4 linked regions of the Callithrix jacchus genome follow. The protein of the gene in region 3 purifies or fractionates together with the protein of the main gene of each other region. This does not show direct contact. Links are inferred from orthologs where the notes say so. Each region holds a gene or a part of one and is shown on either strand. Other genes may lie near its edges. The genes, in order: DIAPH2, PLXNB2, RHOD and DAAM1.

Region 1 (7,446 bases), on a different chromosome or scaffold from region 3:
AGTGCTTGTTCAGTTTACAAAAGGATCTTTATGATGCAAATCCTCATAATATTTAAGTAGTACTTAAATGAAACTATATACTTTGCTTCACAAAACATTGATTGGTGGGTTTTTGAAATCATGCAAATGAACTAGTCTTGCTCCCAATTTAGGTAATAATATTGTTTCTTTAATGGTAGTAGGAAAATTTAAATGTCTTTTCTTGAATACTGTTTCTATACAGAAAATTTTAATTCCATTGAAAAAGAAAATTCTAAGGATGGGTTGACTTGCTTGCTAAGAACATTGTAAGGATGGACCCTATGAATTTTAGACAATGGTTTTTCTTCTAAAAATAGACCACTCAGGTTATGAAGTTACAGTATTTTTTTTTTTTATAAACTATTTGTTTACTGTCTTAGAAGTGACCTCTACAGGGGTCGGGTGCGGTGGCTCAAGCCTGTAATCCCAGTACTTTGGGAGGCTGAGGCGGGTGGATCATGAGGTCAGGAGATCGCGACCATCATGGTCAACATGGTGAAACCCTGTCTCTACTAAAAATACAAAAAATTAACTGGACATGGTGGCGCGTGCCTGTAATCCCAGCTACTCAGGAGGCTGAGGCAGGAGAATTGCCTGAACCCAGGAGGCGGAGGTTGCGGTGAGCCGAGATCGCGCCATTGCACTCCAGCCTGGGTAACGAGTGAAACTCCATCTCAAAAAATAAATAAATAAGAAGTGACCTCTACATACCTATAGATGAAATACTATTGACTAATTCACTTAATTACCTAATTCCTTTTATATAGTATTTTAATCTCAAAATAGAAATAATTATAGCAATAACTAGAAGTTTGCCAAATATAAAATATAGCTATTAACCAATGCAATAAGATTGTATATTAATCTATAGAGTCTCAAGCATATGGAAATATATATAAGTATATGTTATACATACATGTACCAGAAAAGAGTATTAATATATCAGTATATGTAATGAATGTTTGCTAGTGGACATGAGACTCCTGAATACAATATGCTAGTTGTACTGTTTCTGGAAGTTTCTTACAGAAACATTCCCATCACTACTGGTACAGATTTTCTCAAATTCTGGGCTCTTAGTGTTTGGCTACAAAGTTAAACAGAATCTGATGCCTAATAAGGAATTAATGAGCATTGCTGCTTCACAGCTCAAGATGGAGCTCTTTCTTCAATTGAAGGAAACAGTCACTTGATGGAAAGAGAACATAGTACCAGAACTCAGGAATTACAGTTCATGCTTTGCCCCTAATAAGTTGCATGGCCTTTGGAAAATTACTTGACCTCTCTGAGTATCAGTCCCCTCATCTGTAAATTTAGCTATAGGACCCTTTGTTCTAAGTTTTTATTGACTCATGTTGTCAATTATCACAGCTTTTCAGGATGCTAAGTAATTTTAATCAGGACAGTCACTAGAGAGAGTTGTAATAGAAAGATTCTTATAGAGCCTTTGTTTTCACAGGACATACTTTGATTTGTCAACAGATTCTTAAGAGTTTGACAGTTTCAAAAAGCATGACGATTTGACTTAGATTATTTAAAATTGATATTTTTAGTTAGGCCATGTTAATGTCTTGCACATGGGTACTCGGAGCATGAATTAATAATATTTTTAAATTATTGACATGTGACAAAACAGGCATAAAATATGCATTCAGAATAGAAAATATACAGTGATCTTTTCACTTCATATTAGAATACATTGTCCAGATCAAGGAATTAAGCTTTTATCCGAAATGACTTACACATCAAATTTTTTGACCCCATGGAGTTTAGATTACCTACTTCAAAAACTTCTTTCTCTTATCCAATGCATATAAAAAATAGGATCATAAAAAGCAACCCATTGTTTTAACTTCCAGTACAATAATACTGCTCTGATGTTTGGATTAATGATTTTCCAGATATATTTTTCATGTCTTTTTTTATTTTCGATGTGTTTCTGCATGTTAAAAACTATTTTTAAACATTAGGTAACATTTTTAAAAGCTAAATGATTTCACTCTCAGTCTCAATGACTCAAAGCTATTAAGTTTGGTAATTGCATTGTAATCATCTATCAGTTTTACAAATGTGTTTTTCACTAATATTCATTACTTTTAATCATCTACTGGCCACCTTTATGTGTACTTATCTATTTTGTTTTTGTTGCTTCTTTCCAGGCATGTTTCTCCATTTTGTTTTGTTTTTTTTTTTTGTCTTATCTCCGTATATTTTCTTATTTATTATAACCTATGATAAAGTCACATTTAAGAGCTTTAGCTGTGTTCCCCATCTGCCACTCTGAGTTCTTTTAGAAGTTAAATTAGGGATGATGGAACTATTCATATGGTTGGTAATTAACTAAAGTTTAGCTGAAATGGAAAATCTGCTTCAATGAAATATCCAATTTCACTATTAGACTGTAAAATAAAGCAAAAATATTTGATAAAAAATCACAAAAATACTTTGTGGGACAAAGATCAAAGAATAAGTTGTCTTCTTAATGTAATAAATACTCAAGTTTTAGACTTTCATTAGAATTTCTTTACTTATTCATGCATGCACATGCATACACACAGGTATTCATACTTAGAAAATAAATGAAGATGATGTTTTCTCTCTTTAGTTGACTTGTGACATTTAATAAAACACAGGTGCCATATCTTTAGGTTCACAGCTTTTGTAGTGTAGCACAGCTGTCTGAATCAGGGAGGATAAGAGACAGAAGGCATGGGAATACCCATACTGAGGCTTATACTGGCATATAGTATTCAAAAGAGCCTTTTTAAAAAAAAAACATTTTTCTCTTTTTCTTCACCTTAATTTTTCATACAAACATATTGGACAATTTAGCCATGAATTCCAGACATCTCCAGGGAGACCCAATGACATAAGTAGAATTACTTTAGAAAATCATATCAGTATGTGCTTTACATGTTATTCTTTGTTGAAGAAATACTGATTGTTCCCATATTTCTCCAAATTTATGGAATTTTTAGGGCAGGCTAATGGAGATCATATCTGATCAAGGAGCAACAACTCCAAGATGCAGTCATTTTAAATAAAAAACAAAGACAGATATCTGCATTTGAATAATATTCATATAATTAGGTAGAACCTTATTGTGGGGGTATGGATTTTTGAAAGATCATTGTAAGTTGCTTTTTTAAATTAAAGATATATTCCTTAGACATTTTGAATGATGGTTCTTTTTTTTTTTTTTTTTTTAGTTTGGATTACAGAGGATTCTAGGAGATGAAAGAAGTCTTTTACTATTGGCAAGAGCAATTGACCCCAAACAACCCAACATGATGACTGAAATAGTAAAAATACTTTCTGCTATTTGCATTGTTGGAGAAGAGAACATGTAAGTATTGCTATATTATTATATTTGCTGCATGGAAAATGACATTTGAGAAATTAATAAATTCTACTTTTGTCCTACTTCTTTGGATAACTTTCATGAAAACAGTATTTTAGATAATTTTTGATTGACAGTTTTATCTTGTCTGTTTATATTTTGGCTTTTTTGTTGATATTATGAAAACTAAGTTTAAATAGATAGAATCCTAGTGGGAAGTTCTTGGAAATTTGATTCATAGTGATTGAGTAGAATTTTGTTTTGCTGGAAGTACAGCAATCATTAGAAAGTGGACAAAAGTCAGAGAGTTATTTTGGCAAATACACACACATATATACACAAACACTGTACTGCATATCACACAATTTGAATAGATGCCTTTGTTTTGCATTATTATCTTATAATAGTATTTTACTTTATATGCCATGGTCAATGAAAAGATGAAGTAATTATTTGTAGAGTGAAATAAACCAACCTGTTGAAAGCAAAAATAGGTTGTTCATAATTATTCAAAGTGTATAAGTGCTACCAAATGCAGCAAGTTGTTGCAGAACATGCATTTTATCATATCTTCTTATGGAAATAATATTGAATCAGAAGTAAACTTTCAGATTTGATGACATTAGTAAGTCTAGTTTGTAAGAAACCATTGTGATAAAGAATCAAATATCTGCTAAGGACCTGCACTATGCGATATGTTGACTTTCTTATAATTGCTAGCATAAAATGAGATGTTGCTTAGTGTTAGCTACTGTCCTCAGAAACCAAAAGACAAACACTAAAGAAAAATACTAAGTCTCACTCAATGAAAACAAGCTGAGAATGAGATAACATATGCAAAAGCAAGGATCCTTAGATTTTATTGTTTTAAATCTCAGTTTACACCTGTGTAAGAAATATTTTTAATCACTTAGATTTTCAGTATTCATTAAATACAGTCTAGTCCAGTATAACTATTATGATTTAACTATAATTTCAGATATAATTTGGTAAGAGTAGTATACTACATAGAGGTTAATTTGTTTTAGGCACTGTGTAGCATTACTTAACAATATTTTTGGTCAGGTTAATAAGTTTCTTGTGCTAGATAATTATACATTCTTCTTTAATTACCTGGGCTTTCCTTTTTAGAGTCTTTTTTCTTTTTTCATTTTCAAAAAATGTTGATTTAAAAAATTATTTAAAAAATAATCACTCTGTCTAGAACTTTATTATAAAATTACAATCTGCTTATGTTCTAATTAACTGTTAACAATTATAGGTGCCATATTATGTTTAAGTGATATTAAAGTTAACACATGAAATATCAAAACCTGAAAATTTAAATTTTAATGTTTATCGCTTAGTATTCTTTACAAAATGTCACCCAGTAAAGTTACTTTCTTTAGAATTTTTAAAATCGAATTTTCCTTTTGATGCCCTAAAATTATTTACATCTATCAGTATTGGACTTAAAGAAATATGCAGACAGAAACACAGTTCTTATATTGTAATGGTCTTTCATTTAGACCAGAGGAATCAGTTCAAGAAATCTATTTTACGCCATAGTGACTATAGTTAATAACACTTTAAGTGTTCATACCACAAAAAAATGTAACTACGTGAGGCAATATGTGTTAATTAGCTAGATTTAGCCATTCCACTATGTATACATATTTGAAAACATACACTTTTCATCAATTAAAAAAGTAAATGATAATTTTAAAAAATTATCATAGTATATATAAACATCAAATACCAGAAAGAAAGCAGGGAATACTGAAAGAACCCATGCTTATAGTGTGTGTATAAGAAGTATTTCTCATTTCTGTTTCTTCTTTTTTCTCTACAGTCTAGATAAACTTTTAGGGGCTATAACAACGGCAGCAGAAAGAAATAACAGGGAACGATTTTCACCGATTGTGGAAGGTTTGGAAAATCAGGAAGCCTTGCAATTACAGGTGAGTTCGTTTTGTCTTAAATTGCTTCTAGAGTTATATTTAGAGTACTCATTTTGTATGACATCAACTCCATCTTAGCTGACATTTAAATAGTATGAAATGTAAAACTAAAATTTTTCTGTTTCTTGTTTGTGAGAATTACATTTTTTTTTAATTCCGACAGATACTTTGGAAGTATTATAAATATGGCAGTTATGACTCATTGATATTTGGACAGGAATTTAGTAATTAATATAATAGACCAGGGAAATTGAACCCTTAGCAATAATCAGACAAAAGGGCAAGTAGTTCAGCCAATGCCATTGTCCTAACATGTGTTAATGAAGTCTGTGGACTTGTAGAAATTTAAGACAATTAAACACGTCTTTCTTTGTGCCATTCAGACAACACTCAAAGGTCTGACTCACCAGAATAGAAGGGATTAAATTGCAGTTCTTAGGTTCGTGTCCATTTCATAGCCCTATTTAGACACCACTTACTAAATGCCTTCTTTAGAAAATGACAAATCTCACTGTCTTTTCTTACATGGTTTCAGGAAATGATCCATTTTATGAATGATAACTCAGTTCTTGAGGAATGAGAATGCATGTTTATTGCCTATATTTATGGTATGAGATCCTGCACTAAACATGTTAATTTCATATATTATTTGATTTAATTCTAAAAACAACCTAGATATGTAGCTATTACTATAGTATCATCTTTGTTTTGCTTATGGGATGAATAAGCTGAATGAGATTAAATAACTGGTCTAACGTGACACAGTTTTTAAGTGGTACAATTGGAATTTGATTCCAGGTTTTTGGTCTCTGCTAATCTCTCTTTTATATACCATTTAATGTACCGTGGAAAAGTCTCTAAAATTTGTTTTTAATTTTCGTATTGTCATTCAACAAAGAGAAGGTAGTTTCTACATTTAATGTTATCAGTATTGAATGTTTAAGTATTAAAATTTCTTGCTTGATGTGAAACAAACACAATTAATTTTCTCCTTTTTTATATATTCTGTAGTATTTGTATCTTTGTTTGCCAGAATTTGAAACGGCAAAAGATAGATGAATTGGCTTGTCTAAAGAGAATCTGTAGGCCGGGCGCGGTGGCTCAAGCCTGCAACCCCAGCACTTTGGGAGGCCGAGGCGGGTGGATCACGAGGTCAAGAGATCGAGACCATCCTGGTCAACATGGTGAAACCCCGTCTCTACTAAAGATACAAAAAATTAGCTGGGCTTTGTGGCGCGTGCCTGTAATCCCAGCTACTCAGGAGGCTGAGGCAGGAGAATTGCCTGAACCCGGGAGGCGGAGGTTGCGGTGAGCCGAGATCGCGCCATTGCACTCCAGCCTGGGTAACAAGAGCGAAACTCCGTCTCAAAAAAAAAAAAAAAAAAAAAAAAAAAAAAGAGAATCTGTAATGTAACAAAATTGTAATTCTTCTCCAAATATTCAAGGATCTTTGTTAATCATGACTTATACTCCAATGATACTAAACATTTTGGATCAACTTTTATGGTGTACTTTTCTGTCAAATATATTACTTATTTATTTAATTAATTTTTGAGATGGAGTCTTGCTCAGTTGCTCAGGCTAGAATGCAGTGGTGCGATCTCCACTCTCTGCAACCTACAGCTCTCAAAGCAATTCTCCTTGCCTCAGCCTGCTAAGTAGCTGGGATTACAGGTGCACACCACCACGCCTGGCTGATTTTTGTATTTGCAGTAGAGACGAGGTTTTGCCATGTTGGCCAGGCTGGTCTTGAACTCGACTTCAGGTAATCTGCCTGCCTCAGCTTCCAAAAGTTCTGGGATCATATTACATATTTCAGAAATTAGGATTTTTTTTAGCAGTGTTTTCCTTTTTATAATACTTTTTTCTTATAAAATTTAATCTTGATAAAATTTCATACCTCTACTGAAAGGTGGAAAACTGCCTTTTTTTGACGACCTTGAATTTTTTGACGACTAAATTTCATACTCAGTTTGTCATACTTGGGCCAAAAACATTGATATATTTTTTAAATCTTCCTTAAATAAATTTGTAGCCACAACTCTGTGAGTTATATCAGTAAACTCTGGTTTACTGATCAGGGAATTGAATTGCTGGAAGGCACTCAAAAATCACACAGCTGTTAAGGAATAGAGCTGTAATTTG
Region 2 (7,446 bases), on a different chromosome or scaffold from region 3:
TGCAAAACTTAGCCAGGTGTGGTGGTGCGTAATCCCAACTACTCAAGAAGCTGAGGTAGGAGCATTGCTTGAACCAGGAGGCGGAGGTTGCAGTGAGCCGAGATCGCGCCATTGCACTCCAGCCTGATGGAGCGACACTACATCTAAAAAGAAAAATCTACGTATTTAGTAATTTGTAGTACAAGTGTGGAAAGTAGAAAAGTTCCTTTTAAAAGTTTCCTTTCGGCCGGGCGTGGTGGCTCAAGCCTGTGATCCCAGCACTTTGGAGGCCGAGGCGGGTGGATCACGAGGCCAAGAGATCGAGACCATCCTGGTCAACAAGGTGAAACCCCGTCTCTACTAAAAATACAAAAAAAATTAGCTGGGCATGGTGGCACGTGCCTGTAATCCCAGCTACTCAGGAGGCTGAGGCAGGAGAACTGCCTGAACCCAGGAGGCGGAGGTTTCGGTGAGCCGAGATCGTGCCATTGCACTCCAGCCTGGGTAACAAGAGCGAAACTCCGTCTCAAAAAAAAAAGAGTAAGTGTGCTAATGGCTTTGTGAAGCCCTCTCCTATGTAGTTGTTAGACACGCCATGTTGTGCGTTCTATGTCCTTGGACTTTAACCAAAACATCTGCACTGGACGTGCTCACAGGCATGCCCCAGCTCTCCATTGCTTTTCTCTGTTTAGTAACAAAATTTTAAGTTGTCAGCCAATCGGGTTTTAGTTTAGATGGTGAGGTCTGGCTCCGGCCACCGGAGATCGGACACAGCAGTAAGGACGACCCCAGATGCGTGAGGAATAAATCCGTGTTTTTCCCTTTGTTCACTGCACTCTTGTGGTAAGATGGCTCGTGATGGTGCCCTTCCTGCAGCCCAGGAGGTAAAAATTGCATGGCCATAAAAAAAAATCCTTTGTCTCGGTGCTGATTTTTCTTTGCGACACCAGTGTCAACACTCAGCTTCTCTGCTTATGTACAGGTCTCAGGAGGAGAGAGGGGTCTCAGAATCTCCCAGGATCTGCCCCAGACCCCTCTGCCCCCAGCCTCGGCCACCCTCCACCCCCTACATCCAGGACTCAGGCCCAAGATGTAAAAATCCACACCCGAGACAAGGTCCTCCCTGCCCCAGACCTGCCCCCGCCCCACTCACGCGGCTCAGCTTGTGCTCCGTGCGTGTGCAGGCGTCCATGAAGGTCTGTGCAATGACTGACAGCGAGGCATCCACCACCTCGTGGACGTGCACATCAAAGATGAAGTGGGGGTTCTTGAGGATGTTCACCCAGAACCGGAGCGGTAAACTGAGGCAGAGCAGAGGGGAGTGAGAGTCGGGGCTGGGCGGCAGGATGGGTGCAGGAAGTTCAGGTCATTGAGAGGTGGGGCCGGGCCGGGTGGGCTGCAGGGTGGGTGCAGGAGGTTCAGATGAGTGAGAGGCGGGGCCGGGCCGGTGGGCCGCAGGGTGGGTGCAGGAGGTTCAGATGAAGGGTGGGTGCAGGCGGGGCCGGGCCGGGTGGGCCGCAGGGTGGGTGCAGGCGGGGCCGGCCGGGTGGGCCGCGGGGTGGGTGCAGAGGTTCAGATGAGTGAGAGGCGGGGCAGGCCGGGTGGGCCGCAGGGTGGGCCGCAGGATGGGCCGCAGGGTGGGTGCAGGCGGGGCCGGGCCGGGTGGGCCGCGGGGTGGGTGCAGAGGTTCAGATGAAGGGTGGGTGCAGGCTGGGCCGGGCCGGGTGGGCCGCAGGGTGGGTGCAGGAGGTTCAGATGAGAGAGAGGCGGGGCTGGCCGGGTGGGCCGCGGGGTGGGTGCAGAGGTTCAGATGAGTGAGAGGCGGGGCCGGCCGGGTGGGTGCAGAGGCTCACCTGTTGGTCTTCCAGATGTGGATGGTGTCCTCGTCCTGGATGCTGTGCTTGTCCGCCTGCTCGTCCAGGAAGTCGAAGAAGTACTTGACCGCGGGCGGCACGGCGTGCCCAGGGGCCAGCACGCTGTGAAAGAAGTTGTCCACAAACTGCTGCAGCGTGCCCTGTGGGGAGAGGGGCTCAGCGTGGTGCCGTGGCTGCGGCTCCTGGGGCCAGCCCACATGCCCACGGCGGCCTACCTTGACGGAGAGCAGCCTTGTCAGGTAGATCTCAGTAATGGCTTTAGTCCGCTCCTTCTCCTTCACGCTGCCCCGCTTGGATTTGCCCTCGTCCACCTCTTCGGCCGGCCGAACCAGGTGCCACACCCGGTTCTCCTCCTCCAGCAGGGCATGGCCTGTGGGGAGCAGGCGCTGAGGGACCCCTGGGGCCTGGGTCCCACAGCTCCCCTGGTTGGTGGTGGGAGGGCTGGGCCTCGGCCACAGCCACTGGGCCACCTCCCCAGAGGGGCTTTCAGGAACCTCCCGTGCCTGTGCCCCTGAGGTCAGGGTGGGCAGGACTGCATGTGCCAAGGGCGAACACGGTCTGCACCGACCTCCAGGAGCTAGAAGGAAATGGGCAAGAGGGACAGACTCACGCTCCCCAGGCAGGTCCTGCTGGCTGTCCTCTGGCTGCTGGGAGACCCCCACCTTGGACAGGATGAGGGTGGCTCCGTCCCGGACCTGGGAAACACAGCAATGAGAAGGGGCCCTGCCCCCGGGTTCCCGGTTCTAGCCCGCCCCAGCCCACCACACACTCACATTATAGTGCATGAGGGTGTTGACTCGCTTCCACCGGCCCTCCCGCTGTGACGTCAGGTCCAGGTCCGACAGGATCTGGGCTGTGGAGCCTGGACGCCACTCTGTGGGAAGAGACAGCCCAGCTTGGGCCCAGGCCGCCCAAGTTCCTCCCACTGCCCACCACTCCCAAGGGAGAAAGCCGGCCAGGACCTGCCACAGGACCTGTCCACTGCGTGCAGACAGGCAGTGGCCGGCACTCACCGAGGACCACGCTGTCTGGCCTGGGCCAGCAGGAGCAAGGCTGCCCACGGTACACCTGGTCAATGATCTTCTCCTTGACCTGGGAGATGGTGTCACAGTTGAGGACCTTGACCTGGATGGCGTCGGCTCCCTCGTCCTGCACGATCACACTCACCGTCTGCAGAAAACACCGGATGAAGCCCGAGGGGAGAGGCCCTTGCTCTCACCTGCACCAAGCAGGAGCCACTCTGCCCACCACAGCGGCACCCTCAGGCGGCAGGCCCTGCTCTGAGCCCCCGAGGCTTCCGCGATGACCACACTCTGCCCTTCCCCTGCCTGCTCTGCTCAGTAGGACAGAAAGCGGGGACAGCTCAGAACTGCTCACTCAGGCTACCACGCAAGCTCACAGAAGCACATGTATAGGTCACGAGCACAGGATCCGGTCACTCGTGCACAGAATATGGGACACCAGGCCCCTCACATGCCCTAAAGGAGGCAGGGGCACCCAGGAAGAGCTGACACTTACAGCCTCCAGAGCTTGCACCCACGAGCACCCAGGCCCTCCCCGAGCACAGAGAGCTGGCTCTACTTGAATCCACACAGGAGGCGGACAGCTCTGGCCTGTGGGTCCTGTCTACAGCCAGGGATGCCCAAGCTCCTTAGGGCAGGTCCGAGGAGGCCACAACAGCCCTGCCCGCCCCGGGAGCTCACCAGAGGTGTGTACTCCACGTCGTCCCCCAGCAGCCCCGTGTCATTGAGGGTATACTTGGCCTTCTTCTGCACCGCGTCCACGGGGCCCTTTTCCACCTGATGTTTGATGGCCTTGAAGAGCTTGTACAGGGGCTCGCCGGCACTGTCCTGGGGTAACACGGAGGGGAGGCTGGGAAGTCAGGGGGCTTGCGGCCTATAAGGGGCCCCCTGAGGCCTGGTCAGAGGCATAGATGGGGCTGGCGGTGTCAGGGACAGGAAGCGAAGCTGTCCAGGCAGGCCCCCCGCAAGGTGCTGTACGGACAGGTGGACACTGAGGGGGACGGCACCAGTCTGCCTTTCCTGTCAACCCCAGCCCAGCTTGGGCGGGACCCACCTTGAGGTGCTGGTACAGGCAGATGGACATCCAGTTAGACAACATCCTCTCCACCACCGTCTCAGACCTGGGGGTGCAGGGAGCCTTGTACCGAGTGACGCCCTAGCACTCCTGAGGCCCAGCAAGTCCCTCCAAGCAACTGCCACCCTTGGGCCAACAACCTCGCCCCGATCCAGGCCTGGGTGTGGCCTGCAGCGAGGACTGCCTGGTGGCAGCTCCAGCCCTTGTGGGGGGGGCAGGCTAATGGTCCCGTTGTGCAGCAGGCTAATAACATGACCAGCTGAAACCACCGGGCAGGAAGGGCTGGAGTCTGGCTTTGTGTTTGCTGCCAGGGACACCACCCCTGGGCTGCCCCCAAACGGTGCTGGCTGGCACCTGCCGGCTCCTGGGTGCCCCACTGGCCTCCATGCCACCCACCACCAGCCCCAGAGCCCCTGCAGCCGCCCGCCTGTGACCCCACCCGTGTGCACCTGCGCAGCATCAGCTTGGGGTTCTTGGCAACCACATACTGCTCCAGGAGCTCCAGGAAGAGCGTGCGCATGATATCCGTGTAGTACTCCAGCTTCCCATGCAGTGCCACCGTCAGCAGGGACGCGAAGTAGACCTTGGCTCGGGCCGAGAACTCCCGCTGGTTTTCCAGGGTGTGGATGAACTGCGGGGGCCGACAGTCAGAGCCTGCCCGGGGCCTGTGCACCCTCCCGCCCGCCCTCTGGCCCGCTGCCTCCCGGCTCACGTTGATGAGGAAGGATTTGCTGTTCAGCAGGTTGGAGAACTGGTAGAGGGCCTGCTCTACCACCTGCCGCCTCGGCTCGGGGATGTCCAGCTTGCCGGTGATCATCACATCCTTGTCGCCGTCCTTGGAGGGCAGGAAGAAGACTCGGTCGGTGTAGGTCTTGTAGTCCAGCACGGGGATCCCGGCCTCGTGCACGTCATTGGTCTGGTCCTCCATCTCGATCATCAGGTCTAGGGGGAGGCTGGCGTGAGACGTCCTGGCCACCTGGGGCCCTGACCCCCGCCACACACAGCATTCCTGCCCCAGGAGGTGCCCGGGCGCCTGCAACCCAGCCGCCCCTACCTGTGAATTCCTTCTTGCAGCGATCCCGCACGCTCTCCTCCAGGCCCTCCAGCTGGGACTTGATCTTCTCGTACTCACGCTCAGCCTGCTGGCTCTTCCTCCTGCGGGGCACAGGGAGACTCCTGGGTCCTGCCCGGCCAGCCCCTCAGCTGCCCGGATGAGGAGGTGGATCTACATGCCTGCCTGTGCAGGGCGGCAGGTGAAGCCAGAGAGGCTGAGGCAGGAGGGCGTTGGCACAGCCACGGGGCAGGCTCACCAGTAACAGTAGACAGACACGGCAATGACGACCACCATGGGCACGATGACCAGCGGCAGGATGAGGCTGAGCGGCACATCACTCACACGCGTGTCGTACTCCACACGGCCCAGCACCCACTCTCGAGAGCCGAACTTCACCTGTGTGGGGGGCCAGGTTCAGCTGGGTCCCGAGGGGGCACCCCCCGCCCACCCGCACTCACGCACAATGAACTCAGGCAGGTTGTGGGTGGTGTCTCGCTTCTGCCGCCGCTTGGGCGGGGGCTGCACCTCCGGGGGCTCGCAGTACAGGTCGGTCTCCGTCAGCGTCTTCATGGTGCAGCGCTCGGCACCCACAAACGCCTCGGCTTCCTGCAGCGTCATTGCCTTGTTCAGGTTGGTGCCCTGGGGAGCGGGCAGAGGTCAGGGTGAGCAGGAGGGAAACGGGGACACGGCCCAGCTCAGCCCAGACCCCAGCAGGACCCAGTCCCTGTGGCTGCGGCATCCTCACCCGGGCATGGATAAGCTTGTTGACCTGCTTCTTGACGCCACCTGTGAAGTTCTCAAAGGTGGGGTCAGGCACATACTCAAAGGCCCCAGCCTCTGTCCTGAGCAGTGCACGGTGCCCGTCCATCTCTATCAGCGCCGTGAGGTTGTAGGCCTCGGGCTCCTCGGGGACAGCCGGAGACAGGAAGACCACCTTGGTGTCATTGTGGAGCACGTAGTCCGTGCCCACCACCTGCAGGCAAGTCCCGGCCATCAGACCACGGGTGCAAGCCCCGCCCTTCCCGGGCACGTCCCCATTGGCTAGCGCCAGAGCTGAGCCCCAGCCTGCACCAGGACTGACCGTCATGGGCTGCAGGGATTCGGCCTCCCGTGGAGGCTGCCAGGACTGCAGGGGCTCTGCGATGACCACCATGGCGAACCTCTGGATCAGGCTGAAGCCCTGACCCGTGACGTTGATGCTTCGGCCACCACTGGGGAGGGGAGTGCCTCTGTGGGCTCAGCTGGCAGGGGTGGTCCCTGCAGGCGCTGCCCTCCCATCCCCACCCACCCTGGCTCAGGCCACGCAGGGCTTCCAGGTGCACGTGTGGGTCTGGGTGGGCAAAGGGGCAACACGATGGGCCGTGCTGAGCTCGAGATTGTGCCACAAGTGGGCAGGGGGGCACGCGGGGCCTGGTGAACATAGAGTCTGAGGTGTGCCCGTCTGGTTTCTAGGAGGAAGCGGATCTGGGGTGCAGTGGGGTTTTCAGGAGGCCTCCTCCCACTGTGCAGACCAGCCCCACCACATTCCTTTCAGTGAAGTCAGCCGAGAGCACAGAAGAGGAAGCTGGGTGTGTGGGTGTGGGGAGCAGAGGGTAGCTCCCCTCCTCCCCACAGGGGACGAAGGGGCGGGGCACCAGCCTCACCTGGCAAAGCTTCGCAGTGGCTCAAAGGCTCGCAGTACTGGGTTTTCACGGTAGGTGAAGATGATGCCGGGGCTGGGCACAGGGGAGCCCCCGTAGGAGACCTCCAGGGGCATCTGGCCCCGTGTCGCCTGGGGGCCGGTGACACACTGGAGCTGCGCCCCAAACTTCGTCCTGGGGGAGGGAGGGTGCTGGTCTGCGTCAACCCCCTCCCCCGACCAACCCCAGCCCGACCAGGCTGGCCTCGCCATCTCCTCCACCACGCAGGTCTCAGTAAGTGCCCCCCTCCATACCCAGGGCCAGAGCCAACCAGACAGCAGCTGGCGGTGACACCCACACTTTACACGGGATGCCGCTGAGGGTCACCCGAACGTCCTCCTGGGAGCCTGTGTCCAGGTGGGTGCCGTGGATAGTCAGCATGGTGCCACCCGCCTGCGGTCCCTCCTGCGGCTCCACACTGAGAGGCTGGGGCTGCTAAAAGAGCCGCAGGGGCACTCGGGTGAATACGAGGCTCAGGACACCCTCAGTCCTGGGCTGGATAATAACGCTGGTGGGAAGGCGGGGGGCAGAGCCCTCTTCCGGGTTTAGCAGCTACAGGACAGGTCCCCAAAGCCAGGCACTCACTTGGAAGGTGAACTGGACGTCGGGAGGTGAACGACCGAGTTTCCCGAGGACATCCACCTCGACACCCCCAGTTAAGGGCGCCTCTGCAGCCTCGATCACACACACAATCCTGGCGGATGACAGGCAGGGTGTCCCAGGCCCTCCCTGATCCACCCGCTTCCTGACACTCTCACTCCTC
Region 3 (7,446 bases):
GGAGGGCGCCCTGAGCAGGCAAGGGGGGATGGGGAGGTGGATGAGACCCTTGTCTGTTCCTGTTGGTTCGTCTTGGTAGAGGGAGTGACAGCATGTCTAGAGTCTGGGGTGGGGCCAGCCCTTACCTCAAGGCCATCCTGACGTCTCCATCTTCCTCAGCTGCCCACTCTGGGACCTGCCTTTCTCCCCACCCCACTCCCTGCAGCTTCCCTGGAGGATGGTGCTGACCCACTGCTCAGGTGCTGCCCCTCCCAGCTGGCCGGAGCCTGATTCAGAGGGCCAGCGGGCAGGCAGGCACGAAATTCTCCTGAGTCATAGGCAGGTGGGGGCCCCACCCAGCATGCGAAGGGAAGAGGATAGGGGCCCTCCAGACTGTGGCCCCACCAACCGGCCCTGAGCAGGCAGTCGAGGCCTAGAGACCCAAAAGCAGGCAACCCAGAATGCCCCTTGAAGCAGAGGGCATAGGTTATGGCAGAGTTTTGCAAATGTCTTTACCTGTTGTGCAGACCCATCTTGCAAAAGCTCCCTCTTCATTCCTGCATTTTCATCTATGTACAAAACCTGGCCTGTTGCCCATTCATGTCATCTTCATGGCAAGGCAGTCAGCTTAGGCTGGGCAGGGCTGGAGTGAGGGGCCTCTGTCCTGAGTGACCTCCTCCCAAGCCCAGGCAGAACAAAGAAGAAAGCCCAAACGTGGGGCACTGGGCTGGGCGTGGTGGCTCACACCTGTACTCCTAGCACTTTGGGAGGCCGAGGCAGGTGGATCTTGTGAGTCCAGGAGTTTAAGACCAGTCTGGGCAACATGGCAAGATCCCATCTCTACAAAAAATTACTTTGGGAGGCCAAGGTGGGTGAATTGCTTGAGTTCAGGAGTTTGAGACCAGCCTGGCAACATGGCAAAACTGTTTCTACAAAAAAAGAAAAAGATACATAAGAAGAATATGTATGGAAAAGAAAAAAGAGGGCCGGGCGCAGTGGCTCACGCCTGTAATCCCAGCACTTTGGGAGGCCGAGGCGGGTGGATCACGAGGTCAAGAGATCGAGACCATCCTGGTCAACATGGTGAAACCCCGTCTCTACTAAAAATACAAAAAATTAGCTGGGCATGGTGGCGCGTGCCTGTAATCCCAGCTACTCAGGAGGCCGAGGCAGGAAAATTGCCTGAACCCAGGAGGCGGAGGTTGCAGTGAGCCGAGATCCCGCCATTGCACTCCAGCCTGGGTAACAAGAGCGAAACTCCGTCTCAAAAAAAAAAGGAAAAAGAGAGAAAAAAAAAATAAAAACAGTCTGGGCATGGTGGCTCACGCCTGTAATCTCAGCACTTTGGGAGGCCAAATCCAGTGGATCACAAGATTAAAAGATCAGGACAATCCTGGTTAACATGGTGAAACACTGTCTCCACTAAAAATACAAAAAATTAGCTGGGCGTGGTAGCACGCTCCTGTAGTCCAGCTACTCGGGAGGCTGAGGCAGGAGAATCTCTTGAACCCAGGAGGTGGAGGTTCCAGTGAGCCAAGATTGCACCACTGCACTCCAGCCTCAGCGAGTGGTGGCATCTTGTTTGGATTGTGAGAGGTTGAGAGACAAGGGAAGAAACCCAAAAAGCTGTGAGTTCCCCAGCGCAGGGATTGAGTCTTTTGTTGCCTGCTTCCCAGTGTCCAGAACTGGGCCTAGAGAAGGTGCTATTGCCGCTGAACAAATAGATGAATGAACGAAACAAGGAATGAATAAACATGGAGGTTAGTGTTCTAGGAAGAGGGGACAGCAGAAATGGGAGTCCCAACGATACGTGCCCATGGTCCCAGCTCTTGGGTGGCAGAGTCAGGAGGATTGTTTGGGGCTGCATTGAGTTGTGATGGTGCCTTTGAATAGCTGCTGCACTCCAGCCTCAGAAATATAGGGAGACCCTGCTCTAAAAAAAAGGAAAAAACCCTGCCCTTATCCAGAGAGCAATGATAAAAATAACAGTAGTTGGCATGTAGATGTGCTTATTTTATGCCAGGCCCTGAGCTAAGTGCTCCGCACGGAACACCTCCCTGAATCCTTATAGCAGGTGGCACTGTGGTAGGGACTTTTTTTTTTGAGACGGAGTCTTGCTCTGTCACCCAGGCTGGAGTGCAATGGTGTGATCTTGGTTCACCGCAACCTCCGCCTCCCGGGTTCAACTGATTCTCCTGCCTCAGCCTCCTGAGTAGCTAGGACTACAGGTGCCTGCCACCACGCCTGGTTAATTTTTCTATTTTTGGTAGAGACAGGGTTTCACCATGTTGGCCAGGCTGGTCTCAAACTCCTGACCTCTGGTGATCTTCTCACCTCAGCATCCCAAAGGGCTGAGATTACAGGTGTGAGCCACAACACCCAGCCTTTTTTTTTTTTTTTTTTGAGACAGAGTCTTGCTCTGTCACCTAGGATGGAGTGCAGTGGCACAATCTTTGCTCACTGCCACCTCCCGGTCCCAAGCGATTCTCATGCCTCAGCCTCTTGAATAGCTAGAATTACAGACAGGCACCACCATGCCTAGCTAATTTTTGTATTTTCAGTAGAGATGGGATTCACCATGTTGGCCAGGCTGGTCTTGAACTCCCGGCCTCAAGTGATCTGCCCACCTCAAATGTGCTGGAATTACAGGGGTGAGCCACGGTGCCTGGCCGGTAGGGACTTTTAATATTCCCATTTCACAACTGAGAACAAAGCTGGGGAGGTTCAAGACCTTGCAAAAACAGACAGACTCTAGGCTGCCACCCAGGCAGGCCAAGGAAGAGGCTTCTCAGAAACAACTACACTGCACTGACCCACAGAAGGTATGGTGTGGTGAAGAGCCCAGGGTCCTGCACCTCTCGGAAGTGTCCTCACAGCCTGCCCTGCCCTGCTTCTCCTCAGAGCTACACCCCCACGGTGTTTGAGCGGCACCTGATTGACGTGCAAGTGAAAGGCAAACCTGTGCACCTCCACATCTGGGACACAGCAGGTGGGTGTGCAGGGGCGGTGGCAGGGCCCCAGACGTCCCCCAGATGCCTGGGACAGACTCCACTCTGCCTTCTGCTGAAACAGGGAGGCCAGCCAGTCTCCAAGGGACAAGTGTGGGCCAGGAGTCGGCCCAGGAACCTGAGCCCTCCTTGCCACTGCAGCCATGTCCACCTGTACCCCCAGCACCCCAGGGCTGCCCGCTACGTCTGGAGGCAAGCATGAATCCAGTGCTTCGCTTTTAGGACTGCTCTTGGCCTGCTGAGCACTCCTCCCTGCTTTTAGCTTCTGTAAGATCTGCCTGTCCGAAGCCTCTGCCCTCCAGCCTCCTGACCTTGCCTCTTCAAGGCTGAGCTCTAAGCTAAGCTCAGGGCATCCCAGCAGCCCTCTTAGTTGGACAGGCTAAGATGTCTTTGCCAGGTTCCCACCTACCCCTCATTTCTCACTCCTAAGTTCAGGGCAAAGCTGGCTTCTGAGCAGTTGCCCCAGTTACTCCAGCTGGCGCCAGGCCTGACCTCTGCCTTGCCCAGAATCCCTTCCAGACATTCCACAGGCAGAGGTGAGCACTGCCCCAAGGGGGCACTCACATAGAGTAGCCACCTCAGAGCCAAATTTGTGCCAGATGCTGAGGCACAAAACTAGGCCCTGTCCCCAGAAGCTCCCCATCTGATGGGGTGACTTCCTGACATTGGGGCGGTGCTGATAGGGGCCAGGAACCCTGAAGGCAGTGACCACCCCCACTCTGCCCAGGGCAAGATGACTACGACCGCCTTCGGCCCCTGTTCTACCCTGACGCCAGCGTCCTGCTGCTCTGCTTCGATGTCACCAGCCCGAACAGCTTTGACAACGTCTCTGCCCGGGTAGGTATGGGATGCAGGGAGGCATAGCCCCCATAGCCGGCCACTTGGCTCTGCTGCCCACCCTTGACCCAGCTGACTGTCAGAGGTTGGCAGGCCCGAGATGACATTGAGTCCAGAGGCTCTGGCATATATATGGGGAAACTGAGGCCCAGAGTGGGGCAGTGGCTTGCCCAGGGTCCCTGGCACAGGGATTTGGTGGCAGCATCTGCCCTTCTGACTCCCAGTACAGGGCTCCTTGCCTACTCTAGGCTGCAGACTCCGAACGCTGTGGCTCTTCCCACTTCGAGTCTGCCTGAGGTTGCTGGTGACCCAGAGGCTCCTGCATCTCCAAAGCCTGCGCCTGCCCGAGGCACATGCACCGTCAGGTCAGAGTCCAGCAGCTCTTCGTGGCTGCTGGTTCTCAGAGGCTGCCCACGGGCATCAGGGATGTGGCCCCTTGAGTTCCTCTCTGTTCCAGCTGCCTTTAGCCGTGGCACAGCCCCTCACCCACTGCCACCAGGGCCTCCGAGGTTCTGCCGGGTACAACCTGTGATAGTATTTGCAACAACAACAACACCGACGGCGACGATTTTAAGGACTGACCACGTTCCAGGCACTGCTCTGGGTACTAGCATGTATTTACTCATTTACCCACCCCGGCCAACCTTATGGAGTATTATTATTCCTGGATCGAGTCACTCGTCCAAAGATATACAGCTATTAAAGTGGTAACACTGGTTTGAACCCAGGCAGCCTGCTCCACCCATTCATTCAGAACGAATGATTGAGCACATCCGTCTGCCAGGTGTTGTTCTGGGCACTGGGGACCAGGAGAGATGGTGGTGCCTGGGACCAGGGTGCTAGCCGTGGGGGTGGTGAGGAGGGGGTTGATTCTGAATCAGTCTAGAAGGCGGAGTTTGCTGATGATCAGGGTTTGCTGATGGATTGGAGGTGGATGGGAGGGAGGAATTTTTACCAGAGCAGCTGGAAGGTGGAGTCGCCCTTGCCTAGAATGAGGAGCAAGCTGGGGATGGGGCGTGGGATGGGGAGAAGGCAGGTCTGCTGGACATCCTAGTGGAGGCATCCGGCAGGCAGTGCGAGGCATGCTTCTGCAATTCGTCTGAGCAGGCAGGACTGTTGGGGAGAGGAGGGAGAGCAGCTAGAGGAGAGGAAAGTCCACAGCCTGTGCCCCAGGGAGAGGAGGAGGAGGATAAGGCCCCAGAAGACCTAGGAGATCAGGACAGTGGGGTCCTGGGGTGAAGTGCAGGCTTGGTCAGGTAGGAGGGAGTGATGCCCAGGGTCAAGGCTGTCAAGGGATCTGGTAGGAGCAGGGCTAAGGATTCACTGCTGGTGGCCGGGCACAGTGGCTCATGCCTTGTAATCCCAGCACATTGGGAGGCCGAGGTGGGTGGATCATTTGAAGTCAGGAGTTTCAGACCAGCCTGACCAACATGGCAAAACCCTGTCACTACTAAAAATACAAAACTGAGCTAGGCATGGTGGCAGGCACCTGTAGTCCCAGCTACTCAGGAGGCTGAGGCAGGAGTATCACTTGAACTGAGGAGGTGGAGGTTGCAGTGAGCTGAGATCACACCACTGCACTCCAGCCTGGATGACAGAGTGGGACTCCATCTCAAAAAAAAGCATATTCACTGCTGGGTTAAGTGGGAGGCACCAAGGAAACCTTTTTCACTAACACTTTGGTGGATGGGTGGGGTGTGGGGAATCTGCCAGGGACCCCACAAAGGCCCCATTGGTTCCAGGAATGAGGTAGTGGGACGCCATTTTTTTTTTTTTTTTGAGATAAAGTCTCACTCTGTTGCCCAGGCTGGAATGCAGGGGTGCAATCTCTGCTCCGCCTCCTGGGTTCAGGCTATTCTCCTGCCTCAGCCTCCTGAGTAGCTGGGATTACAGACTCCTGCCACCATGCCTGGCTAATTTTTGTATTTTTAGTAGAGACAAGGTTTTACCACGTTGGCCAGGCTGGTCTCAAACTTCTGGCCTCAAGTGTCTGCCCACCTTGGCATCCCAAAGGGCTGGGATTACAGGCATGAGCCACCAAGCCCAGCCGATGCCAATTTTTACTGGGCACGTTTGACACCTGAGCCGGCAGACTTGGTGCTCCTGGAGATAGAAAGCCCCCTCTCTGGATTCCAAGCCCCCCACCTGCAGTCCAGGCTGAAATAACTCGGGCCTGGTGGCCTCACATTTTGCAGAGCAGCCTTCCCTCCACCAGGCAAGCAGTTGAGGCAGACAGCTGCTGCGGCATTTTATGGGCAGATTTATTTACTTATTTATTTATTTTGAGACAGAGACTCTGTCACCCAGCCTGGAGTGCAGTGGCTCCATCTCAGCTCACAGCAACCTCCGCCTGCTGGGTTCAAATAATTCTCCTCCTTCTGCCTCCCCAAGTAGCTGGGACTATAGGCACGTGACACCACGCCTGGCTATTTTTTTTTTTTTTTTTTTTTTTTGAGATGGAATCTCTCCCTATTGCCCAGGCTGGAGTGCAGTGGCGCGATCTCGGCTCACAGCAACCTTCGCCTCCTGGGTTCAAGCAATTCTCCTCCCTCAGCCTCCCAAGTAGCTAGGATTACAGGTGCACACCACCACACCCAGCTAATTTTTTGTATTTTTAGTAGAGACGGAGGGTTTCACCATGTTGGCCAGGCTGGTCTCGAACTTGTGACCTCAGGTGATCCACCCTCCTTGGCCTCCCAAAATGCTGGCATTGCAGGCATGAGCCACCGCACCTGGCCACCGCACCTGGCCAGATTTATTCTCAAAGAATCACTTCTTTCCTTATATATTTTGCCCAGTTTAGGGGGTGGCTGTGAGGGCCCTTACCCTGCAGAGAGGCAGGATTCTAGAAGGGCAGGAGCCCCACCCCTAGGCTCAAATCCTGCCATTTCCAGCCAAGGCCGAGTTACACTGCCTCTCTGTGCCTCAGTTACCACATCTGCATGGTGGGATTGATTATGAACTTGCTGCCAGGGAGTTGGGGGATTAATGGGTCCATATGCGTAAATTCTTAGATGAGTCTGGTACTGAATAGTTTCTCCCTAGATGCTGGCTGTGAGGATTACCGATATCAGAGTCCAGGCTGGGGAGCGGGAGCGTGGCCCGCTGAGAGGGCCGGAACTCTCCGGGGCTCACACACGCCCCCTCGCCCCCTTGCAGTGGTACCCAGAAGTGAATCATTTCTGCAAGAAAGTGCCCATCATCGTCGTGGGCTGCAAGACTGACCTGCGCAAGGACAAATCACTGGTGAACAAGCTCCGAAGAAATGGGCTGGAGCCTGTGACCTACCACAGGGTAGGAAACCCAGCCTGAGGTGGGAGTGGGTGACTGGGGGCGGGGACCTCTGGATGCCTCTCAGTGGCACCAGGCATCCAGCACACTCAGGGTGTAGGTCAGAGCAGGGGTCGTCTTAGGGGCTGTCAGGTCAGGAACTTCCAGCACTTGGAAATGGTCCCTAGAATACCCTGGGAGCCTCTGCCGGCAGAAGGGAGAACAAGAAAGTAGGCGTATCAGAGTCAGTTCCACCACCAACCTGAGACCCAGAGAGGAGGCCAGGCAGGCACCCACATATTCAGACTGTGGGTCCCTCTGCTACACACTTGGGTCCATGGGAAGTTCATTT
Region 4 (7,446 bases), on a different chromosome or scaffold from region 3:
AGATGTTACTTAGATATAGTGCATATGTACAGTAACTCCTATTTGACCCCTCGAACATTTTAGCTCTCCCAGTTGTTACTGAAATAGGATAAATAAATATCTTACATTGTCACCATTATCTCACAGGCAGCAGAATAAGAAGAGACTTACATTCGTACGACATTCTTAATATTAAAGTTTTCCAAAGGTGTGGAGTCAGGGTCCTGTCCTTTGTCATTCTGGATAACTATCTGCTGTATAATTCTATCTAGTAGTAGCCAGTACTGAACAGTGTTGCCACTCCTTTTGTCTAAAAAAGAAGAGAACAGTGAAAGAAAATGCTCAAGTTGTTTCTGAGCTAGGACGAATATTTGTCAATAGCGGTCACCCTTCAGAGCCACAGAACCAGAGAGGTTTACAACATCTGTACCAATGCTTCCCAAAGTTTATCGAATTTTGACATGCAATGATCATTAATGTGATTGAGAGGGACCTTCTATACCTTTCTAAACAGGTTGTAGGGCATATTTTTTATTTTTTAAATCAAAATTTTGTTTCATTAAAAAAATTTTGTAACACCCCTTAAGCTATGTAGACACACGAACTGGGCTGTCATAAAACCAAGCCTTGGAATCTCTGGTGTGCACCAAATGTAATCAGCACTGCGCAGGGGCCAGAACCCTTTGGACAATGTCCAAACATTCAGAAGCACACATGTAAGTCACAAATACACTTACAAGGCATTTGGAGGCAGTGGTGCAGGATGGACATGAAATGCGGGTAAGCTTCACTATGAGTCAGCCTCTTCCTGGTCAGCTCAAACATCTGAGTTGCACTTTTTGTGTCTATGTGAACCTATTTTATAGGAAAAAGAAATCAAATCAAACATCTAAGTTCTTCAATTCCCCCAGTGTAAAATAAACTTAAAGCAAACAGAAGCTAATCCTGCCCCTTAGGTAACAAAATAGAGCTTCGATTTTGCTTTTAGGTTGCATTAGTCCCTATGAACTCTATAACACACATTACAAAGAGAAATAATGTGAACTGATAAGTCAAACCAGAATAATTGTAAGCATATATACCAGTTCAAATCTTTTGGCAAATTCTAGTTCATCTTCATTCCGGAGCATTTCAAAAAAGTCTAAATGCCTGAAAAATAATGAAAGAAAAGTTATTAAGTAGAACATCCTACAAACACAGGTGCATAGGACTGAGGACATGAATACTAAGGTTTTTCCTGACTTTTCAGAGATAGCTCAGAAAGAAACAATGGAACAAAATTTGAATGCTTCAACTTAACTATGTTCTTTCTAAGGAAAAAAGACATCACCTGAGTGAAACAGATTACAATAAGAGAAAAATTTAAAAATCTAGGCTGCCTAGCGTATAGTAGGCAATTATTAAAACTAAATCTAAAAACAATCAAGTCCAAATTCCATTCATGGATTCCCTTTATGGAAAAACATGCCCATAAACCTACACTTAACTTCCAGCTGAATTAAAGGTGACAAAACAAATGATCATGCCATTCATTTATTCAGTCATGTATTTATTGAGCACCTACTATGTATACTACACACCCTGGATGCATTTTATGAAGACAAACACATCAGGGTAAAAAAAATAGAAAACGGTGGCAGATGAGGTGAATAATGTACACAGTGGTTACATAAGGTCTCTCTCCAGGGAACTAGGGAACAAACAATTTGGACATCTGTGAAAGATCTTTTGAAGCTGAGGAAACAGCAAGTGCAAAGGCCCTGACGCAAGAGTGTTTTGACGTGTTCACAGACTATCAAGAAGAAGAGCATGCTGGAGTATATGAATATAGAGGAGAAGAGAACAGTGGTAGAGAAAAGCTCTGAAATCAAGTAGGGATAGTTTAGAGATAGTAAAATGATTGCAAACGAGCAAATGAATAGGCAGTGGAACAGTCACAGTATGCCTGTCAAAAGGGCTAAGTGATTCCATAGGTTTTTTTAGTCAATTTTTAAAATATTCCTGGAAAATAACTGTCATTATCATCATTACCACCAGCGCTTATTTTTTTTTACAGGAATAAAAATAGCAAAATTCGGAAAAATGGAGTAACTTCACCAGGATACACAGGACGTACGAGGCAGGACTAGGATAAGACATGAATTCAGGTCTAACGCCAAAACCCACATTACGTTTTCTATAAAATGTGCTGCTTCCCTCATCAACAAAGTCTTACTATAAAAACATCATTAGTTGAACTAACATTCTGGTACAAGCTCTTTACATTACAGACGGGGCACAGGTAACCACAGGCCAGCACTTGATGAGGCATTGCATTACAGATGGAAAGCACAGAAACTTTCTCACATCATAGCATTCTGACTTACCTATCTAACGTTGAATTTTCATGTTCCCTTAATTTATCTATTACAGGTTGAATTCCTAACATCAGAAATTCATAGCGAAGATGAAGTCTAAAGTCCAAACTCTCCTGAAAGTAAATGGGCAATAAAATACATATTTGTGGTTTTTAGACTAAATAGTAATCACTTTTTATAAATTATTCTTTACTAATAGATTTTTAATTTATAGTAGAAGGTCCTTACCACTCCTGCTCCTTGGCTGAGCACCGCATTAATGAAGGACATGATTGCAGTCTTGAGACTCACTTCATCTCGATACCGCCCAGTGCTTTTATCCAAGTCGTTAATTAATGTCTATCAAAAATATAAATATAAAAACAAAGGACTGAAACATTACTAACCTTATGCTCATTTTATGAATTTTTTTAGACTCAAAGTTAACTTTTCAAATCTTGTGTTTAGTCAGGATTATACTGACCCATAGAAAGCACCCTTTTCCCCCCTTAAGAACAGTCCTAAAAACTCTAATTTCAAAATTCTTACATCATACATACATGTATACAAAAGCCTTTGGTTCATCACCTCCGCTTGCTTTTTACATCTGACTAATATACTGAAATATGAAAAATTATTCATATTGATCCTAATTCAAGAATGGCAAGCTGTAATATTTTCAGGGAACACCCAATTTGGTGGGTTCAAAAGATGTGAGCTGTATGACATGTAGGATGCAAGGCCACAATTTCAAGTTCTGCAAATTTAAAGCTACAGACTGATCAACTATGGAAAATATACTCTATTCTCTGGTTCTTAAATCTAAGAAGGAGGGAATATTTGAAGTCACATTGTGAGTAATCACCACAGGGGGAAATGTAATGTTCTCAAGTAATGTTCCCCTTCAGAGACAGGAAAAGCACGTGTTTGAGCAGACTTTAAAGAAGGGGTGAGTGAAGAAGGCTGAGGGAGCACCCACCTGAAAGCGGGTCCTTTCACTGGCATATTTCTGGTAGTGCAGCATGGCCTGCAGAACCTTCTTGTGGCCCCCAGGAACCAGGCACACGGCGCCCAAGATTTCCAGCACGGCCACCTTTGTTTTAATGTTCTCTGTGCTCAGACTCTGAGCAATTACATTAATACTCTCAGAATGAGCCAGGACATGAGCCCGGCCTTGAGAGTTGTTCATTAGTGCCTTTATGCAGCCAATGAGAGAAGTATGTATTCGAGACTCTGATGTCTCATAGTCCATGGTCTTTAGAAAGTTGAGGATACATGACAGGCCATCCAAGTCGATGAATCTGGTTACAAACCTGTTGTGAAGAGAAGTACACCACACTTAAGTCCCTTTGGGGTTTTATAATAGCCCCTAATAGAAAAGTCTGGAGGGTGGGGGAAAGTAAAATTTAGTTCCTGAAGTGCCAAAAGGCTTACACTGATGAAGTCTTTTTAATGCTCTGCCTCTTCCTCAGCACAGACCCAACGGTCAGGTCTAACCAAAAGTGTGAAAAAACAAAACCCTCCATTTGTGCAAAACACATCTCAACAAGAACAAAGAACCAAGTAACAGATCACATGCTTATAAAAAAGCAAGAGAATACTCAGAATACATATCTTGTCTTAGGTTAAAATCATTTGCAGATCCTGTGTTATTTAGCATACAGTTCCAGTTCCAATACCCCACCCATCCCCCGTTTTGTTTTTAAGAGAGACAGGGTCTTGCTCTGCCATAGCTCACTGCAGCCTCGAACTCCTGAGCTCAAGTGATCCTTCCATCCCAGCCTCCCGAGTAGCTTGCTATTTTCCCCAGACTGGTCTTGAACTCCTGGCCTCAAGCAAACCTCCTGTCTCAGCCTCCCAAGTAGCTGGTATAGTGAGTGACAACGTCCAGCCATGCGCTTTTATGTTGACTGCTAATGCACTTTTAAGTGCTGATCACTGACCTAAACGCCCTATTAATGAAAGTCAAGAGCTTCCTTACATTCCAAAATATTTGCTTGTCAAACAAATGATAATCTATATCCCAAAAATTTTATTAAAAAACTATTCTCTTGTTTGACATGCTACATGGAATCTCATTATTCCATATACATGGAATACAATAATAAAGCAATACTTTGTTGTATATTAACTTTATTAATATTTCTTACACTTAATGTTAAGCTAATCAATGAGAATAACTCACAATACACATGTACATAGCCACTGAAAAGCTCAGAAGTAACATAATCTGTTTATGTGATAAATTTTCCAAACTTATTAGCCTTGGATATTGATTAACATCTGAGAATGCAGAACACACTGAGAGAAACGGTGACAGGATAGTCTAGAGCTCAGTCATATAACTACACAACATTTTTAATGAATCAGGCTTTTCTAAGTTTTCATTTTATAGTCAAATAAAGAAAGGGAATCTTTATTTTCTAGGCTTTTCACCCAACCACATGACCCAGCTATAGCCAAGCTCATTAAACCAGCTGGCTTCATTCATAGCACCTGTGCTCATGAAATGTACATATAAGAACCTCAACACCTCACCAAATCCTACAGGCATTAAAGAAAAATGAAAGTGCAGGAGGCACACCATAGAAGCTGATTATCAGAGAGGAAATGAATCACTATTGCCAGAAAGTCTACCCATCTTAAAAAAATTAGTTGTATTGAGAAATAATTCACATGCCATAAAATTCACCCTTTTAAATTGTACGATTCAGTAGTTTTTAGTATATTCACAGAGCTGTGTGACCATCAACACTATCTAATTTTAGAAGAGTTTAATCACCCAAAGAGAACATTTTCCCCACTTCCTCAGCTCCTGGCAACCACTAATCTACTTTCTGTTTCTATGGATTGGCCTATTCCGGGCATTTCATAGAAATAGAATCATACAGTATGTGGTCTCCTTTGTTACTGGCTTCTTCCACTTAGTATATTTCAAGGTTATTTCATGTTGCAACATGTATCAGCACTCCATTCCTTTTTTTGTAGCCAAATTATATTCAATTTTGTGGATATATAACATTTAATTTATCATTTCATTGGCTGATGGATATATGGTTGTTTTCACTTCTTGGCTATCATGAATAATGATATGAACATTTGCATACATGTTTTTGGGGGACATGTCTTCATTTCCCTTGGCTATATTCTTAGAAGTATAATTACTGAGTCATATGGCAACACTATATTTAAAATTCTGAGAAACTGTTAAAATCCTTTCCAAAGTGGCTTCACCATTTTATGTTCCTAGCAGCAATGAATAGGGTTCCAATATTTCTACATTCCTGCCTACTAACTTGCCATTGTTAAAGTCTCTGTCTTTTTTATTTTAGCCATCCTAGTGGCGGCCTGTATACCTTTGAACAGAAGAAAATAGTTTTATTGGCCGGGCGCAGTGGCTCACACCTGTAATCCCAGCACTTTCGGAGGCCAAGGCGGGTGGATTACAAGGTCAAGAGATCGAAGACCATCCTGGTCAACATGGTGAAACCCCGTCTCTACTAAAAATACAAAAAATTAGCTGGACATGGTGGCGCGTGCCTGTAATCCCAGCTACTCAGGAGGCTGAGGCAGGAGAATTGCCTGAACCCAGGAGGTGGAGGTTGCGGTGAGCCAAGATCGTGCCATTGCACTCCAACCTGGCTAACAAGAGCGAAACTCTGTCTCAAAAAAAAAAAAAAAAAAGAAAATAATTTTATTAAATGTTAATGATTAAAATATGTTACTCATGGTTTAATTTTATGGTTTTAACTTAAGACTTAATAGAAGGTTTGACTATTGCAGAAAAAAGGAGGGAAAAAGGAGAGAAAAAAACCATGCTAACCAGGGAAAATTACCTCATTGGTTTTGTCCTCAGTGCTGTCTTCAAACTCTCTATAGTTTTACTTCTCTCTTCTTCTTCTTCCTTCTCTAAGGCCAGCAGAGATTTTCTCTGTACAAAGAAAACAGAAGTCACTTCTTCAAATTCTATTTTTTAATTACAGTACAAGCAAGACAAACCTAAGATTATTTGTTACCATCACTTTAAATATAAATAATAAATCTATAATCAAGTAAGCTAGGTCCTTCAAATTCTAAATAAAGCTTTAAGGAAAAGTTTAGAAATCTTAGTAGAGACTATGTTGCCCAAATGTTTGTATAACTATTCTACAATTACACTTTGATATAGATATTACTATTTGTATTTGATAGAAATAAGATTGAACCTGTAGTTGAATACAATGTTCTGGCAATTACATCTGAGTAATATAGTGAAACATGAAAAATTATTCATATTGATCCTAATTCAAGAATGGCAAGCTGTAAAATTTTCAGGGAACACCCAATTTGGTGGGTTCAAAAGATGGGAGATATATGACGTGTAGGATGCAAGGTCACAATTTCAAGTTCTGCAAATCTCAAGTCCCAGAGTCTGAGAAATTATCACATTATCAAAAAGAGGAGGTGGGCAGCAGTCCTCCCACACTACCATCCCTATTCCTCAGCCAAAAAGTGTAATCAAGACCAAAGGGATTTTGTTACATCAAATTATTTTTTAAGAAGAACAATTAAATTGGAGCTATTACTAGGATAGACAATTCCTTCAGAGTAAAGGCTTAACTTCTAGAAATGATTCACCATCATTTAGAAATCAGAGTGTGAGTGTGAGTGTGTGTGTGTGTGTGAGTGTGTGTGTGTGTGTGTGTGTGTTTCTACACAGGGATCTGCTAGAGCAGTCCTTCTCAAACTTTAATGTGGATTTGAAAATCACGTGAGGATAGTCTTAAAATGTGGAGCCTGGTTTGGTATGTCTGGTTTGAGCCTGGTTTGAGGTGAGGTTTGAGATGCTGCATTCTTGACACATTTCTAGGCAATGCTGATGCCGCGAGAGCAAGGTTTTATGTAAGACTGCAGTAATAATTCACGATTATAAAATCATGAATGCCAGTAAGGTGTCTAGTCCTTTCCATTCCCTTTCATTCAGCGATCACCTGGTTGTCCTACAGTACCCCCAATCTGATGACTCCAGGAACCTCCACCATGGAGCTCCCAGTCCCTGTTCTTCATCCTATTCTGAACACATGCTTGTCTAGTTTCAATCTTTTTACCTGTTACAAATTCTGACAGAAATGCTTGGCTAGGAAATACACTG

The links.
Region 1: the proteins of RHOD (region 3) and DIAPH2 purify together in Homo sapiens (co-immunoprecipitation; 3 studies listed by BioGRID and IntAct, with this or other methods). This does not show direct contact. The link is inferred for Callithrix jacchus from reciprocal best matches to the Homo sapiens genes RHOD and DIAPH2.
Region 2: the proteins of RHOD (region 3) and PLXNB2 purify together in Homo sapiens (affinity purification with mass spectrometry; 3 studies listed by BioGRID and IntAct, counting the BioPlex papers as one, with this or other methods). This does not show direct contact. The link is inferred for Callithrix jacchus from reciprocal best matches to the Homo sapiens genes RHOD and PLXNB2.
Region 4: the proteins of RHOD (region 3) and DAAM1 purify together in Homo sapiens (affinity purification with mass spectrometry; 3 studies listed by BioGRID and IntAct, counting the BioPlex papers as one, with this or other methods). This does not show direct contact. The link is inferred for Callithrix jacchus from reciprocal best matches to the Homo sapiens genes RHOD and DAAM1.

The regions. Positions count from the first base shown.
Region 1 is NC_133524.1:93,113,416-93,120,861, forward strand, and holds part of DIAPH2 (protein diaphanous homolog 2), read left to right. Parts: intron 1-3,230; coding exon 3,231-3,367; intron 3,368-5,192; coding exon 5,193-5,301; intron 5,302-7,446. UniProt on the Homo sapiens protein: Could be involved in oogenesis. Involved in the regulation of endosome dynamics.
Region 2 is NC_133502.1:218,855,408-218,862,853, forward strand, and holds part of PLXNB2 (plexin-B2), read right to left. Parts: intron 7,378-7,446; coding exon 7,269-7,377; intron 7,119-7,268; coding exon 6,982-7,118; intron 6,819-6,981; coding exon 6,648-6,818; intron 6,216-6,647; coding exon 6,086-6,215; intron 5,978-6,085; coding exon 5,750-5,977; intron 5,644-5,749; coding exon 5,467-5,643; intron 5,401-5,466; coding exon 5,261-5,400; intron 5,106-5,260; coding exon 5,005-5,105; intron 4,893-5,004; coding exon 4,663-4,892; intron 4,582-4,662; coding exon 4,400-4,581; intron 3,997-4,399; coding exon 3,930-3,996; intron 3,704-3,929; coding exon 3,557-3,703; intron 3,024-3,556; coding exon 2,867-3,023; intron 2,728-2,866; coding exon 2,627-2,727; intron 2,549-2,626; coding exon 2,464-2,548; intron 2,224-2,463; coding exon 2,069-2,223; intron 1,994-2,068; coding exon 1,833-1,993; intron 1,281-1,832; coding exon 1,133-1,280; intron 1-1,132.
Region 3 is NC_133511.1:124,151,091-124,158,536, forward strand, and holds part of RHOD (rho-related GTP-binding protein RhoD), read left to right. Parts: intron 1-2,880; coding exon 2,881-2,968; intron 2,969-3,670; exon of another isoform or gene 3,671-3,714; coding exon 3,715-3,824; intron 3,825-4,048; exon of another isoform or gene 4,049-4,428; intron 4,429-6,869; coding exon 6,870-7,118; intron 7,119-7,446. UniProt on the Homo sapiens protein: Involved in endosome dynamics. May coordinate membrane transport with the function of the cytoskeleton. Involved in the internalization and trafficking of activated tyrosine kinase receptors such as PDGFRB.
Region 4 is NC_133509.1:94,025,058-94,032,503, reverse strand, and holds part of DAAM1 (disheveled-associated activator of morphogenesis 1), read right to left. Parts: intron 6,247-7,446; coding exon 6,152-6,246; intron 3,629-6,151; coding exon 3,295-3,628; intron 2,676-3,294; coding exon 2,565-2,675; intron 2,450-2,564; coding exon 2,346-2,449; intron 1,129-2,345; coding exon 1,062-1,128; intron 835-1,061; coding exon 717-834; intron 290-716; coding exon 151-289; intron 1-150. UniProt on the Homo sapiens protein: Binds to disheveled (Dvl) and Rho, and mediates Wnt-induced Dvl-Rho complex formation. May play a role as a scaffolding protein to recruit Rho-GDP and Rho-GEF, thereby enhancing Rho-GTP formation. Can direct nucleation and elongation of new actin filaments.